Lepisosteus oculatus: one gene and its partner. The protein of the gene in region 1 purifies or fractionates together with the protein of each later gene. This does not show direct contact. Links are inferred from orthologs where the notes say so. Each region holds a gene or a part of one and is shown on either strand. Other genes may lie near its edges.

Evidence for each region.
Region 2: the proteins of ube3a (region 1) and psmd1 purify together in Homo sapiens (affinity purification with mass spectrometry, with the first as the bait; 3 studies listed by BioGRID). This does not show direct contact. The link is inferred for Lepisosteus oculatus from reciprocal best matches to the Homo sapiens genes UBE3A and PSMD1.

Annotation. Positions count from the first base shown.
Region 1 is NC_090710.1:22,991,436-22,999,520, reverse strand, and holds the start of ube3a (ubiquitin-protein ligase E3A), read right to left. Parts: upstream 3,060-8,085; 5' UTR 2,828-3,059; coding exon 2,751-2,827; intron 606-2,750; coding exon 561-605; intron 1-560. UniProt on the Homo sapiens protein: E3 ubiquitin-protein ligase which accepts ubiquitin from an E2 ubiquitin-conjugating enzyme in the form of a thioester and transfers it to its substrates.
Region 2 is NC_090708.1:8,525,931-8,533,982, reverse strand, and holds the start of psmd1 (26S proteasome non-ATPase regulatory subunit 1), read right to left. Parts: upstream 3,081-8,052; 5' UTR 2,925-3,080; coding exon 2,909-2,924; intron 1,918-2,908; coding exon 1,874-1,917; intron 1,419-1,873; coding exon 1,345-1,418; intron 949-1,344; coding exon 779-948; intron 368-778; coding exon 162-367; intron 1-161. Other genes in the region: uncharacterized protein C2orf72 homolog, read right to left, coding at 6,384-6,484, 7,444-8,052.

The DNA of each region.
Region 1 (8,085 bases):
AAAAAATAAAACGTGGAAGAATTCTAGAAAAACTATTAAGGCGGAGAAGGTCTCTCTCACAAGTCAGAACTTGTAATATTTTATTAGGCAAGTTGAAATTATTCTGAAGCACCCATAAAAGTCTTATAGGAGTTCATGTTCAGCAGTAGAGTGTACACTATACAAATTAGAATGAAATATGACTGCCTTACAGCACACATAAAAATGAAAAGAATAAGGTGTTTTTGAAGAAAGGCACAAATTCTCTAATTCTTTTCTTGAACAATGATATGTGCACAAGTATTTGGAGTATGAAAATAAGATCATGCCTTATAAAACGCCATGCATACACCTCTATATTGCAGAAAGTTCATGCTTACAGAAATGTGCACCTTCAAGTAAAAAAACAATGCATTGAAACATTTAGTAAAGTATGTAAGACATTTCAATGGGTCAAAAATCATTGGCATCAAAACCAGTGTTAAAGAAAAATACACGACTGATGCTGTGATGATAAAGGTAAGACTACAGGGTAAGGACATGGTACTGCAAACAATAAAGCCCCCGAACATTTCACTCACATTCGGCTTGCTTCAGGGTTCTCTATGTCAGGTTCTCCTGGTGATCTAAAAGCAATGCAAAACAATATCGGATAAAGAATTAATTTCTGACAGAAAGAGAAAACTTTGAAAGAACACACTAAAATCACACTGAATGGGTCGATATCGTATATTCATTAAACATGACCACTAGCACAAAAAAATCCGGTTAAAATAATGCTTTTACGTTCATTGTACAGTAATTGTCACAACCTTTCAACGAAGATAAAAGTCCTATCATTTTGTTCATTGTACAATGACAAGAGATGGGAACCTGGCTTTGCTAAATGAAGTACTATGACTTCAGTCCTATATTTTGGGCATCAAGCTGCTTCAGAAAGTGAACAGATGGGGAGCAAAAAATGATGTTCTGTTGCGATAAAATACTTTAAGCAAGTGACACATGGGGGCCTGCCTACAAATAAAACTGCACTATTATCTCAAATTCTTCTAATCCTGTCCACACCAGCACCAACAATCCCTGCACTAGTTAAGTTATTTGAATACCATTTGGACATTATCCTTCTCCTAGAAATCACATGATCCTAAATCTCCAGTCTATGAAGTATTTGATTCAAAATGTGAAATTAACTCTGTAGTTTCAAATCTTACACTCCCAACCTGACACTACACGTGTCTACTCTAGGCATGTTCTTGTCATTCCATGAAAAAATCTTGCTGGGCCTCTAACTGCAGAGTGCCTACTTTAACGCACAGTCTAGTTGTGCCTTGGTATCAGATTTGTAATCACAATTTCCATTACCCTTTCACAAACACATTGAACTCTGAGGTCAAACCTGACTACCTACTACTAGATTGGAATCTTCCTCTTCTCAGCTTTGAACAGTTCAGAGAATTAGTATGAATGACAGAATGGAAAGTTTACATAGCAGCTTCTCCAGGTATCAATCACTGCTCCAAAGGTCATTGATATCTTTAAGGCAGTAGTCTCAAACTTACTTCCTGGAGGGCCTTGTGTCTGCTGGTTTTTGTAGTCAATTCAACATTGAACCTATTTTTATTTACGAAACGTCTTTTACAGTTGACCACACATGACATTCACTTAATCAAAGTTAGTTTATATCTATCTACAGTTAGCACATCAAAGACCGGTTTCAATGTATTTCAATTAAGCAGCTTATTCATTCAGCAAGTCGACTATTTAACCGAGATCAGAGACACTAGGGAGACCTTCCAGGAATTAAGTTTGAGACCGCTGCTCTGAGGAGAAATGACAACTTCAGCTACACGTACACTTCTACATTATTCACAATATGAGTTATTTTTATATACCTACCCCATAAAATTCATAAAATAGAAAAACAGAGACACAAACCATCACTATATGGCTCCTTTTAAAATTGAAATCAAAGAAATGTATAAACATCAAAAGGACTAATACGAGAACTTCTATAATCTAATAGAAAATAGACCTGTAACTCAAAACGTTTGCAATGGGTAATTTAAAGGCTTGCGTACTGCCATTGGTAAATAGTGTAAATATGTTTGACACGGTGCACTGGAGGGGCCTAGCAAAGGATAAACCTTAGCTGCTCTATTAACCAAGTCAATGCCATCATTCTCCTTATTGCGAGCAGTACGAAAGTAGTTTAATGAAAATATCTGATCGTGCATCACGAAACGTCATAACCCTATATACTACTCAGGTAACAGTAACTAGCTAGCTCCGTGCAGCTGACAGGCCTTACTGGGTAATGACAGTGCATGATTAACTATTGCTGTGCATTTAGATGCTAAAAACAGAACGGCATTTCCCATAACTGCTTTCCGTGTGTCACTTTAAATGGCTCATTCTCTTAAGCACTGTAAAATCGGAACCAGGTAAGCGCTTGCAAGACTGTAACAGTTTTGAAATTCTTAACATATCGTACAGCCTACGGCCTAAAGCAACTTGTTTACTGTCAACATCCAACTGTCAAAAACAAGACTTGGCAAATGTTGCAACCGAACCTTATCAGAATAAGATGCCGTTTTTTTTAAAAGGCGGAGCACGAAAGACACACACTGCAAACACGGGGACACGGAAAGGTATAAACGGTGGATTAATAACCGTGCACCTGCCGTACAAAACAGGCAATCTCTCCCTTTCCTCTCTCCTACTTGCCCGACCGCGACCGGAATCCCCGGCCCTTTCCCCAGCCCCGTACCGACCTGTCGGATCCTCCTGTAGGGGCTGGCTCGGCCTGTGGTGGCGCACACTCACAGTCCTGCTTCTCGTCGGAATTCATACGAGACTTTCTCTCTCAGTTGTGTGTGTATATAGTGTGATTTGGTTGTGCAAGGTATTCCCTTAGTCACGACGAGGTTTCAGCAAGACGGCAAGGGGGTTTATTGCTGCAGCTGCGATAACGACGGAGGTCCCTGGATTACTGAACTGATGTTTCATTTGAGGCCTGTTCCACTCTCTGATCTCCACAAAATCAATTCCGCCATCTTGGTTTCAACAGGGCTAGCCGTGCACAAGGGTGCCTATCCCAGCATGCAGCGCTGCTTTCGCTCCTGCTAGCTTTGGTGCCGCAGCGCTCTGGCTGTGTTTACAGAAATGAAAGGCAGGCAGCTGTGGTGTCCAGAAAAAGTGATGTTAGTGTCAAATTTAGAACTTGAATGTCTTCTACAAAGAGCTTTTATGACCGGGCACTTTTTGATCAATATGTACATCCATAGAAAAAGATCATAATTCTTCACGATGTATCTTTACTTTCATTTTCATGTCCTTACAACCAGTTCTTGCTGAAGGTTGAATTTTAAAAAGTAAATAAACGCGTGACCTTTTTTTGCAGGTTTTTCGAAAGAAAAATGCGTTTAAAATGCACACTGTTACTGACACTCTGTTAAGCCAAGTTTCGTTTCGAAACAGGATGGCGGTTAACTAATTTCAAAAAGAGAGCGTGAAAGACGAGGAATTCTGGGAAATGATTTTATCGCTACTTATTTGTTACTGTATGTATTATGAGTATAGCTATATTTTTTAACAGATTGTTTCACGGGATTTCTTTGTTGTGTCATACTGGCTTTTACATCGATCTTTTAGCTATCGATACGAACAGCTGTGACATGAGTGGGAATTTCTGTTAGTGCTCATAGCTTTTTTTCTCTCATCAATTATGTACAGTAATCGATTTTAAATGCATTTTGTTTATAAAGGCATACGAATGCATTTAACTAATTCTAATACACTTACCACTTTAAGTATACCTATTATATGGAGAAAGCGGACGTACTATATGGTATGATCATTTCAGGAATATTAAAATGTGTTTGTGATACAGAAAAACGTGTATATGCATAAATATATATGGTAATGTAAAGGATTCCTCCAGCAAAAATAAAAACCTAAGAATGTATACTTAAGAATCGAAAGAAACTTATCCCTCTATGTCACATGTGTTTTAAAGTATACCGATTTGGGATATTGATTTACTTACATGTTCTGGCATCATTTTGTTTGAGCATGACTCATGCGCTCGCTTAGCTTAGACAGACGTTAGCATAAGCGCCAAACCATCTCAGTAGTGAGTGTTGATTGGGCACAGATTTGCACGTGATTCAAACTGTGGAATGTCCTAACTGGTAAAACTGAAAGGAAAAAACATTGAAAGGGGTCTATACAGTATGTCTTATTAATTCATCAAGAGAGCATGAAAGTGTTCATGCTATCAGTATGTTGGAGCAAAACCTGACAATTTGGGAGCCAATCCATCTTAAGCAGCGAGGTGTCTCAAGTAAATGTCAAGCTCAATACAAAGCCTTCAGAAGACGGTCGTGGGGTAACGAGACATAAACTACTATACTGTATATGGTAAAATGAAAAAGTTCTGAGTTTAAGTGTGTTGAAATAATTGAGTTCAGGGGTCAAATGCCCTCATTTTTCATCACTATTGCTTTCCAGTGGAATTTTTAAAAAGTTTGATAATCCCATATACAAGCATCAACATGGTGTCAAAGTTGTTCTTCTGTATTTATGAGTGAACTTCTAGTGCCTCTGTCTCCTGAATGGTTAGTCATTCAGATTCAGAAATCAGTCTATTTCTCACATGGGCAAACATTTACGGAAATTTTTATGAACATTTAAAAGGGTGTTTAACTGCTACAGAACACCACTGGTAGTGATTCATGGAAACCTAACGTCATGGCACTATATTGTTCATGTCCTGGGATCTCACCTGACATAGCACTTCAGTAGCACAACACTCATCCTCCTGTCGCTTGTGTATCAACAGCTTCCTGTGTCCTGTCTTCCGTGTGAAGACGGTATTACTGTTATCCCCAGGTTTGCCCTACTTGAACCGTGGGGCTGGAGCCCCATTACTTATCTGTGAGAAGAGCTGAGGTGACACTTGGCTGGAGCCCCATTACTTATCTGTGAGAAGAGCTGAGGTGACACTTGGCATCTCGGGCTGCGAAAAACATGTTTTCCAGTCTCTAAAAGAGGACAGAATCCCACAAAACAGCATCTGCAACCAGGTGCAAACCATGTATCACAGACACTATTAGACTCTGACTTTCACTGTAGACCCTCTATTGATTCATCCTGTTGTTGGCAAATGTTAAGCATAATAAACCCATCCATGTCACATATATATTCAATATCATTTCAGTGCACGAGCTTCAAAAATAACTGATAACTTTAACTGATAATTCCTGATAACTTCGTTGCAGACAGAATTGGTCAGTTTCCTTTGACACCTAGTATGTATTATTTTAAATTGCCTAACTGTTGAGCCTAAATCCATTAAGTGCCGTAAAAGTCATAGAAGACCAGGTGTTTTTTCAGAAGCTCTTCTTCTTTTCAGGATTTCAAGGACATCTGTTGTTTTAGTGCCATTTACAGGTTTCCATATTATTTCTTCATTAAGAACGTAATTAATTTGCATGTTTCTTACCCTCTAATTATTTGTACAATTACTACTACTTTTATATATCACGAAAGTGTTTATGCATTTCTTCTGAAGTATTTGTATCATTTTGTAAACCTAATTGCTTGTTTATTGAACTGTTGTTTGCTGAGACTTCAGGCCGTGACCACAGTACGTGCAGTAGTCAGTCTGCCACTGGTCTTAACCTGTTTTGTCTTAGCCAATCATGGTATCTCTCCGCTTCTTGTCTGCCTTTCAGAAACTTCAGACATTCTGAAATTTACAGTAGGAGACCTTCACAAAAGAGTGAGGATGGGATAAGATTTATAGAAAGGGAAGGAGTAATTAGAACTAGAGCAGGTGAAGAGGTGAATTGGGTGGAAAGAAAAGGAACAAGAAGGGTCAGAAATATTAAAAAATCACAGACAATAGAGTACTTCTCTAGTGTTTCCATTTTGGTGGTCAGTGGGGTATCACACCATCCTATTATTCTATCTAAAAAAGTAAAGGTTAATTCCATGCCGAAAGGAGAAGAAAAGAAACACAACGTTTTGGCCTTCTTCTTCAGCATGTTAGGAACCTTTACTTGTTCCTTTGCAGCCTGCGCATGCTAACGCAGTTACCTGCTTGAACAATCTAAAGAAGTGACAATCAGTTTGGAACTCATTAATGAAAACTAAAACCTGTTTGATTAGAAACCTAACTGATTGCTGAGAAGGTCTCAAACAACAACGAAGAAATTACAGATGAAAGGAAGATGTTAAACGCTCAATTTACTCCTAACAAAGAGATGAGGCCAAATCGGATACATCTTAAGAATGTCTGAATGACTGACTCCTAAATGACTTTGTGACTGTAATGTATTGATCAATATTAGAATATACAGTTAATCATTTTGCGTCCCTTGAAGGCTGTTATTCAATAAATTATGTCTCTGCCTCTCATAAAAGCTGAAAAAAATTGTTCTTATGAGGACACAGCTTTATGAGCAGTTCTATAGTTTTTATAGTTCTATGTAAAGGTGTCATGTAAAATAGTTATCTGTAGAAGATTCTCGTGGTGGCCATAATTGAACATTAGAGGAGTACTGTAACCATTAAGCAGTTATGGAAAGTTTGCCCCATGATGCAGGAATGTTGAAAATGTTTAATTTAGAATCTTTAACATTTTTTAAATCCCCCTATCCACTTTTGTTTCGGTAGAAACCGGAAAATGCTCTTTCATACAATCCTTCTATTATAGTGGTTATTGCTTTCATAACTAGGAACTTATCTTTTATCACCAGAATAGTAATATTTTAGTGCTTTAGTATATTGATTTAGCTGGGAGACATTAGGTACTGAACAGTGCGGAGCTCTGAACAGCAGTTGGGCCTAGATGACCTTAATCATGACCTCTTATCTAAAGTATTTGCCTTGCACAAAAAGTTTTTTTTTCCGTAATTTCTACAAATAGCGTCAAAAAGGCTCTTTAATTCGGCACCACCTTCTTTTGTTCCCACACAAGTTAGCTGCCCAGCACTGAATACAAAAACCAGCACAGGGCGTAGGTGACTGACTTCCTTCACTGCATGGATTCCTCCTGTGAAGTTTCCCCCTCCTGAATCTGAATTTCGACTGGAAATTTTTACTGTTGTTTTAACCTCTAGGGATGTTTAATTTTGTTCAGAATTTGCACACTACCCTGTGGTGATTTTAAGACTCTGCCGGCAGTGCTGGTACCCATATGTGTGGCTTCATGAGATGTCAGAGGGAAGAATTTTGTCTCCAGCTGGAGTCCTCGCCAGTCAGTGGATCACCATCAGTGTAATTTTGGTGGCATAGGTGACTAAATCATTTGAGGTTTGCAATACATTGGTAGGCTTCTTTGGTTCACATTAGATATTGCCAGTGAGTTACAATACAGATTCTCCTGTGTGTGTGAGGTTGGTGCTGCCTAAAACTAGATCCTATTGTGTAGTGTCAATCTGTGAAGCTGTAATTCTCCCATGGAGTGGCTTGAATGTTAAAAATTCTTGATTTGTACAAAAACATCATCAGTTTACTTCCTGGGATAAATGTATCAAAGAGATTTACAGCATTTTATTCTTAATATACTGTATGTTTGTAATAAGTAATGTGTTTGAACTTATAGAAGTAGTTCTTTGAGCTACACCTTTGACTGCTCTTAAAGTAAAAATTAAAAGACTGCATGCTTAATTACAATCACCCCTTTTTTCTTTATTTTGGTGATTGAGCCGTTATTTGCTGTTTAGATGTGTTAAGATGTATAAGCAATGTTGGATTTAAAGGGGCATAAAAGGAGCCTTTTTTATATATTTAGAACAAAAGCATAGTGTTTGCATCAGGAAGAGTCGGTGCTGTGTTATTTAATAGCTTAAATTTCCCAAAATACTGGATGACTGGATCAACTCCAAACATCATATTATAAAAGTGAGGGTTTGTACTGTTCGGTGGTCCCTCACAAGTTCAATGTACATCAAGTTTATTGTATTCCTTTATGATATTGTGGACTAAGGAAATTGTATTTCTAGTTTTCCAATATTGGATCTCCATTTATTTTAGCAGTATCCTAGTGTTCCATTAACGGAGAAATACTGTATGACCTCCAGAAAACAGAGGGTTGTAACA
Region 2 (8,052 bases), on another chromosome or scaffold:
TTTACCATAGAACTCCAATGCAACAAAACAATAAGAAATTACAGATTGTACTCCATAAACGATCACTAGGAAACAAAGCTGTAATAACGTTGTGTGTCCTACGTTAGAGAGACTAAAAAGTGTAGGATGCTACAGTTCAGCCAAGCGCAGTCAATGCTTACAGACTCCAGGATGGTCTTCTCGAAGATGTCCAGCCGACGAGTCTCAAGGGCAATGCCAATTGCCTGTTTGTACTTATGGTCACCCAGGCAGCGCAGAAACATTTTGTTAACAATGCCCTCCAGTCGGGGGTCAATGCTTTTCCTCTCATCATCCGGCAGCTCTGCATTCTCCACACGCTGCTTTGTGTAGTAGTCAATACATTTTGCTGCATGAAAGAAGAAGCAATGGATTGAACTGCCACTTCCCAGCACTTCAGCTATGACCGCCAAATGCAGTTATACACTTGTAATGTATAAGCGTTAAGTGGAGGGATTCCTTTGTACAAGTGTTTCTTTTTTGTCTTAATATTTTATCTTGTTTCTGGAAATATTCAAAGTGGCCCACTTTGACATAACAGTTACAGGGCAGGAAACAATTTAACAATTCAAAACAACTGTCCTGGTGTTACAACTAATTAGAATTAATTCTGAAATTCCACCACCTTTTCAAAAGAGACAGAGGTAAATCAAATATGCAGAAAGAAAGAGTAATAATAGGACACTTCAACATTTTCTAAACATTTACAGTCTGGTTCATCACACACTTCGATCACTATCATTAACACTTCTGAACTCACCGATGATAGTCTCCACATACTCAGAATCGTCATTGACATTGAACAGGTCTCCAGCTCCCAGAGCGTAATTCAGAGACTCTTCAAACGCACCCAGATGGTAGAAAACTTTGGACGCTACCAGTGCTGCAAACTCCCTGCTACGGAACGTCTCATCTTCATAGAGAACCTCACTTAAAGAGTAACATAAAATGATCAGACCAAGAAATGTCTATTTTAATTATTACTGTAGCTGTAACAAACAACATATCTAGTGATAAGTACCCTAGTTTACACCCAAGGCACAATTAACTAATCAGACATCAACGGGATAGAAACAGTTAGCTCAGAGGAAGGTTTAATTATGTAACAAGGAAACCAGCTCCAAGCTTGTATAATGTAATATTCACGGCAAATAATTTCAGATGTATTTTTATATAAAACCTATTGATAATTGGAAAGGCTAAGCGTGCAGAATGATTTATGTATTTAACCATTCTTGATATGGCAAGGAAATGACATTTAGAGAAGAGACAAGTTAATCTGTGAATAACAAAGGTAGATGAGACCAAAAAAAAAAAGATTCTTACATTTTACCAACAGATTCTGAAATCTCAGCCCAGAAATCATTGACAATGGAATTCAGCTTGTGCAGAGCAAACTCCTGTATCAGAAATATTCAGGAAAACAACATAGGATACTTTCATGACATGCACAACACACTGCAGATTTCACAGAACTGCCTTTGGCAGGTTTATCGTCTCATACGATTATTATAGTCAGGAAGAGAACAGTTTAACTGTGCTATACAATATAAATAAGAGTCCTGAGGAATTAAATAAAATTCATAGTAAATTAAAAATTACAGTACAATTATATTAGAAGTTGGCATCATTAAAGTTCAATGCAGTCCCAGGGTTAATATATGTGATCGATTCCCATAGGTACTAGAAATGAAGTTCAGTACTCCTGCTTATACACAACTATTATGCACAAAGTGTAAAGATCAACAAGAACAGTGTGTTTCTGTGATTCTCAGATCAATGGACCTCTGTTTTTTTACAGTATATGCACAAGCTTATTTCTGCAAATAAGGTGTACTTAAGGCAAACAGTTCACCTTGAGCTGAGGCTCCTCTTCATCCAAAAGAGAGATTATTCCAGCTAAAAAAGGAAAGGAAATGTGTCTGAGTTGACAAATACAGCTACCAAAATGTTTAACACTAAACTGTAGAGACGTGGATCTGAACACATGAATGACCTTTAAGTATACCACGTTAGTAAACAATCAATCTTCTGCTCCAGTAAAGGCATGTAAGAAGGTCATCGACAGATTAGTTACCAATGATAGCACTGCAATACTACTGGAAAAGGTGGTCCAGCCTCATTATGTCTAGACGAAAAAATGCAATATTTACAACAAATAATTGTATTTATAAGAACAAGACAAACGAATGTATGAAAACAAGTCTGTACACAATCTTACAAATGTTACGCAAGAGACAACTGCTCTACATATTTTTAGCTCCTTTGACCGATTGTCTAGAAATGCCATCCTATGATCGTACGAATGAAGTTGGATGGTAGACTACATCTACCACAGTTAGAATATACTCTGGTTGCACATCTGTACACAAGGTACATAGGAACCACAGAATCAGCGGGACGCGCTGAATTTCCTGTAAACAAACACAACTACAAGGCTACTAAAATAACTCGTCAGCTGCCATGTGGAAAGTGACCAACATTGTAATGGGAAACACAGTTATGTGTGTTGAAACAGGTTTGTTTACAACACGCGCAAATACACAAAGACTAGAAAAAAAAACATTTTAGTAGTGAACTCGGATGGTCGTATTGGTACTTTTCCGACACACGGCGGACAATCGTGGTACGTTTGTTTTTCTTGTTATTCACTTGTTCCGTGTTATAACGAGATCAGCAACAACTGATTGTTTGTAAAATGTCCCATTAAGGGTTAGGGGGTCCAATAAAAATATTTTACATTGTTGTACTACGTTTCATAATGAGATACTGTACAACTTAAAAGGCAAAACACACTTATTTGCATCGCTCAGTCTTTTGACTCTGTGACTCAGCTAAATCTACCGGGTCGCAATCAACTGCTTAAGTCACATCTGCATCCTCTCCTTACCCGCTGAAGTTATCATGTTTGCTGAAAATCCCTTATTACTCCTCCGGTCTCGACTCTTCAAACAATAAAATGTCTTCGAAGAAAAAAAGAAACACTTTCAGTCAGCAATTACTCGCCTCCCGCTACCTACTGTGCGACACTTTTCCTGCTAATTTTTGATTCACAAAGAAAGTCCTTTGACAACCGGGGGCCTTCCAATATGTTAAGACTGCCCAAAACTGTGCCTGATTATTATTAGATATACCTCATTTAAAATAATGAGTTTGATACAAAATTAATATATTATTCTAACAATAGTCACATAAAATGCAAGAATAAGCATTTTAAGATCACATTTAACACTTTAAGAGACGACATTTTATATTTTTTAAAACGGGCATATTCTTTTCACTTCCGAATACTGCTGACCAATAGCTTAACGACTTTTTTTTACTAGCGGTGATGAATTCTTAACATCGCCCCCTACACAAAGGAGGGTATCTGTTCCAAAAGTAAGGTATAAAGCTGTTCTTGGTTATTGTTTATCCTGCATGTAAACAAAAATACATCAAGTAGAATACGCTACATAAAAACAGCTCTAGAATTTAACGTTTGACATATTAGTAGTAAGTAGTCCGGTGTTTACACGCACTATTTACAATATTCAGCTCTTAAATTCTCTTTCAGTTATGAAATCTTTTCTCAAAGAGAAGTACATTTCACCGGAATTTGACAAACATACCCAGTTCAATTTGTAGCCAAAAAAAACTAATTTAGAATCTCCAGTTCCTCCTTTAGAATAAAGTAAATGTTTGGTAAAATGACACGTATATCTGTTTCACTATACCCGTTGCATATCTTTTTTATATCAGTACTAAATTAGCATTTGACAATGTACCTTGGAATGCTTCATTGTTTAACACTTTCCCCTTTAGAAAATGGAGATAAAATAGCAGAGTCATACAATAATGACTCATTTTCAACTGCCTGAAAAGTATGACTAGCTTAACATTAACAGACCCTATAAGGCACCTAATTTCTCGCTGTTCAAATGGATTTTATCGTCCTTATAAGACATATTTCTGAAGATTAACTGATGAATTCAAACACTTCAAATATTAAGAAATACATTGGGAAATTTCTGTCAGTGAAACATTTTCATTGTAGAAAGTTGAATAAAGCACAAAATGTAAAGGGAGCTTCTAGTACTAATGACATGGAAATTAACTGATACCTTAAAGCTGCTAAGGCTAAAGAAAGCCAAAGTTATGTCTTAAGCCATTAAACCTGTTGTAAATTGTTATAGGTTGTATGTTTAGAAGTGCTAAGCAATGAACAGTGAAGTGACATGGGTATAGCACTCAGGATAACTGATTTCCAGCATTAAAAGCATAGCAGGAGCAAAGCTGGTGAACTTTTAATTTATCACAAGTTTGAAAAGGAACAAACAAGACACCTTTAAAATGTGAATTTCATTTAATTACACCATTAGCAGCATTTTATAAATTATTTAAAACAAATTGATCAAATATTAAAACAATTTTATTAAAACAACACAAAATAATAAATCTTGAGACTATGCAAGTAAAAATAAAAAACTGCAAAATAGCTATATAATCTTTTATTAGTTGAATCCATTACTTCTATACTTCCCCACATAGATTGACAAAAAGCAAAATAAAAAGGAAATGTTCACAATAATTTGGAGCTAATAAAAAAGATTGTCTGTTTTTATAGCACTGATTATTATTTTAGAATGCAATGCTAGCATAAACTTCACTGGTGTTACATATTACTGGGTTAGCATTATATCGTACTGTAAGATTACTAAAGATTAAAAAATACAAATGACAATATACAATGTTCTTCAAGTATAGAAGCATCAGTAATTAAAACCTAATCAAATATATAGTACTTTTACTGTGTTTATATTTGTAAAATAAGATTTAGTTATCTTAAACTTCATCATTTTTTTGTCTATATATTTTTAAAGATACATAAATATTTACAATAGGTAAGAACAAAATAAAGGTTACAAAGGTTCATTAGGTTCAAAGGCCATTAGGTTCCATATATATCAAAATGAAAATGTATCTAAAAAGCCCTGAGTATTATCTAAGAGTACATAAAATTACTTTAGGTGCTAAATACATTAATCCTAATGGATTCACGCTCTTGATAAACCATAACTAAAACTTCATTTAACAAGGAAAAGTGCAGGTCTACCAATATTTCAATATTTAAAAATTAAAATGATAATGTATGAAAGGGAGAACTGAATATGTCATTTCCATAACTGTGCAAAAACAATTACATCCATTTTCTAAATACATGATGTTCAAATTCATTAATATACTGTAAAAATTGAAAATTTATTTTCAGTATTTTACTTATCTGACAGCAATTTGCAATTTGCACCAGCGATCATTGTAAACTAACTTTGAGATGAATCAGTCTTTCAGCTGATATCAGAGAAATTAAATTAAACTCAACATCTTTCCTACAGGTATCTCAGTTTCAATTAATTGACCTTGTTAGAGAAATTGAGATACAGTACCAATGTGTTAAGAAAGCTGCAGAACAAATCCCTAGAAACTAGTCCTTGACGGTTTCACAGGTTTATCGCTTTCCTACTAAGGACTAACATCTGTTTGAATCCAAATCTTCTTTGCATTTTAAGATTTCAATATTTAAGTTGTACAGTACTTTATTTACTGCTTAAAACAACAGTAAGTAAAATACTGTATCGTGTAATATAGACTAAGACAGCAGTGTGGAGCAGTGGTCAGGGTTCTGGAGTAATTGGAAAGTTGTGGCTTCAGATCCCAGGAGAGACGTACTTCACCTAAATTGCTCCAGTAAAAATACATTTCCAGCTGGGAAAGTTGCTTTGGGTATAAGTGTCAACCAAATAAATTAAAAATTCAACATTTTGTAAATATGGACAATGTTGACAGGGACACAGATGAACCACAGAAATGAAAGCTCATTTCTAAAGGGGCTCCTGCCCTTTGTGATTGCCAGAGATTTCCCAATCCTTCATTAATATTTCTACATAACACACTGGCATGTGTGATTACTCCAGGAGATGTGGAGAAACTCAACAAGTCTCCTCTTCATGAAGACGGATGTGATGATGCATTTGTAACAGACCAGGGAGCTGCAGACAATATATCTGCTGAGGACTCTCCTGATCTTACACACACTTGAAGGACAGCATTAACCTTGTATTTGTCCTTTATATCCAGCCTGATTCATTTGAGTTGGTCTTTTTCTTCAACTTCTCCTGATAAGAAGAAATATAAACAATCAACCGCTCACTAAGGTCTTATAAGACTGTCATGCCAAGAAATCAGTTTCCAGTTACAATTTTCTGAGAACTGCAGCTATTTTGTCTGTAAACTGGCAGTGAATGCCTTGTAAACGTTAGTATCTTAAGCTGAGGTCAACACTTTTACCCCAAGTCACAAAAGATTGCTCATTGGCTCAGTTTTCTTCAGGCCTGGCTCTCAAGACTGTTCACCATGGAATCAATCTGTCGGAGGTCAGAGATGGAACTTGTCAGTGGGATTCCTTCTTCCGTATCCCTTAGTTTACCTAAAGGAAAATCCAGAAAGACAAATAATTCAGGAATGTCCATTCTTCTTGAGCAAACTGCAAATGCCTGGATATGAAGAAAAAAAACAAGGAATGATCTAAATCACAGACCTCGACTCTAGCTCGCCTCTGCATTTTAAAAGAAGTACAGTACATTGGCATTGTGAACTTTTCTGTGGCCCTAAAACACTACAAATGTAGCGTGGTTGGTATACAATTTAGAGAAATATAAAAGAAAACACAAGCTGCACTCTGCAGTCTATGGCTAGAATTTAAAAGGCACTTGTGAGTAAATGTTGTAAGAGTAGACTAAGGAAGAACACTCCTCTAAGCAAGATAATGCCAAATTCCTTTCATTCTTATTCGATTTTTACACGGCACCCTGTTTTTAAATTTTGACACATGTATCAACTGAAATATAATGAATATCAAGTACAATTTCCTTCTTTTACGTCCCCGACAACGAAAAAAGCTCGTATCGCTTTATTCTTGAAACATTATTAATAATGAATTGTCTTAAATCAAGTGTTATTCATTTCTTTTTGGAAGCAATATACAATATTTGTTATATGTGTATTTTGTATGCAGTAAATCACATTTAATACAGTACAAAGCTAGAGTCGAGTGCAAATTAAACCTGAGTGGTTAGCGGAGATTTGTATAAAACTTTCACGTTCTCCGGAAGAGTAAACCACATTGGCACAGTTCATGTTCCAAGAAAAAAAAAAGATTTTCCCTTTAAGATTCATCCGTTTAGAACAGTAATATCTATTTTTTTTTCTTTCGAGAGTCTTTTTCCTTACATCCCTCATACATATTTCATGCATTCCCTGGCACTACATCAGCCGGTACCAATAAGGATATATTATTATCCTCAACATATTACTATACTCATGCTATTTTTAACCCGAATTGAATACTGCACTGTTTGCAATACACCCAAGACAAAAACTTAATACCTGTGCGAGGAGACGCTTGCACTGCTTTGCAGACGTTTCTCTTGATCTCCAGCATTCCGTCCCCTTTGTTGGGTATGAAGTGCCCGACCCACACCGAATCGGGGGACTGTTTTCGGAACACCGTCCGCATTGAGCGCTCCAGAATCCGGACCGACTCGCTGGTCTCTGCGGTCTCGCTCCTCGAGTGAATCAAGCCGAGCACAGCTGGCAAGTCGTCCGCTCTCCGGCTACGAGCTTTCACGTCCTTCAGGATCTCCTTCAGGCAGATTCGGTTTGCTTTGCAAGACACAAACTCGTGCCTGAAAATAAAGATTATAACAGGCGAGTCTATGGCCCGCTCTTTGGCCTGACAGGCTTTGCCAATTTTCCAGCGTGCCTTTCTGCCCTGCTGAGTCCGGTCGCTATCCACCCCAGGGGTCATGCGATTGAACTCCGATCCTTCCGGCCTCCCAGTAAGAGATGTTTCGTCCTTTTCGGGAACGTGTTTTTGGGACCTAAAACAAGCTGCACGGTCGTTTCTTGTAGCGTTACTAACCGTACCATTACTGTTATTGTCAGGTATGCTGTCAGCTCCGCATCTACGCATAGGTGGCTTATAAGCAGAAGGAA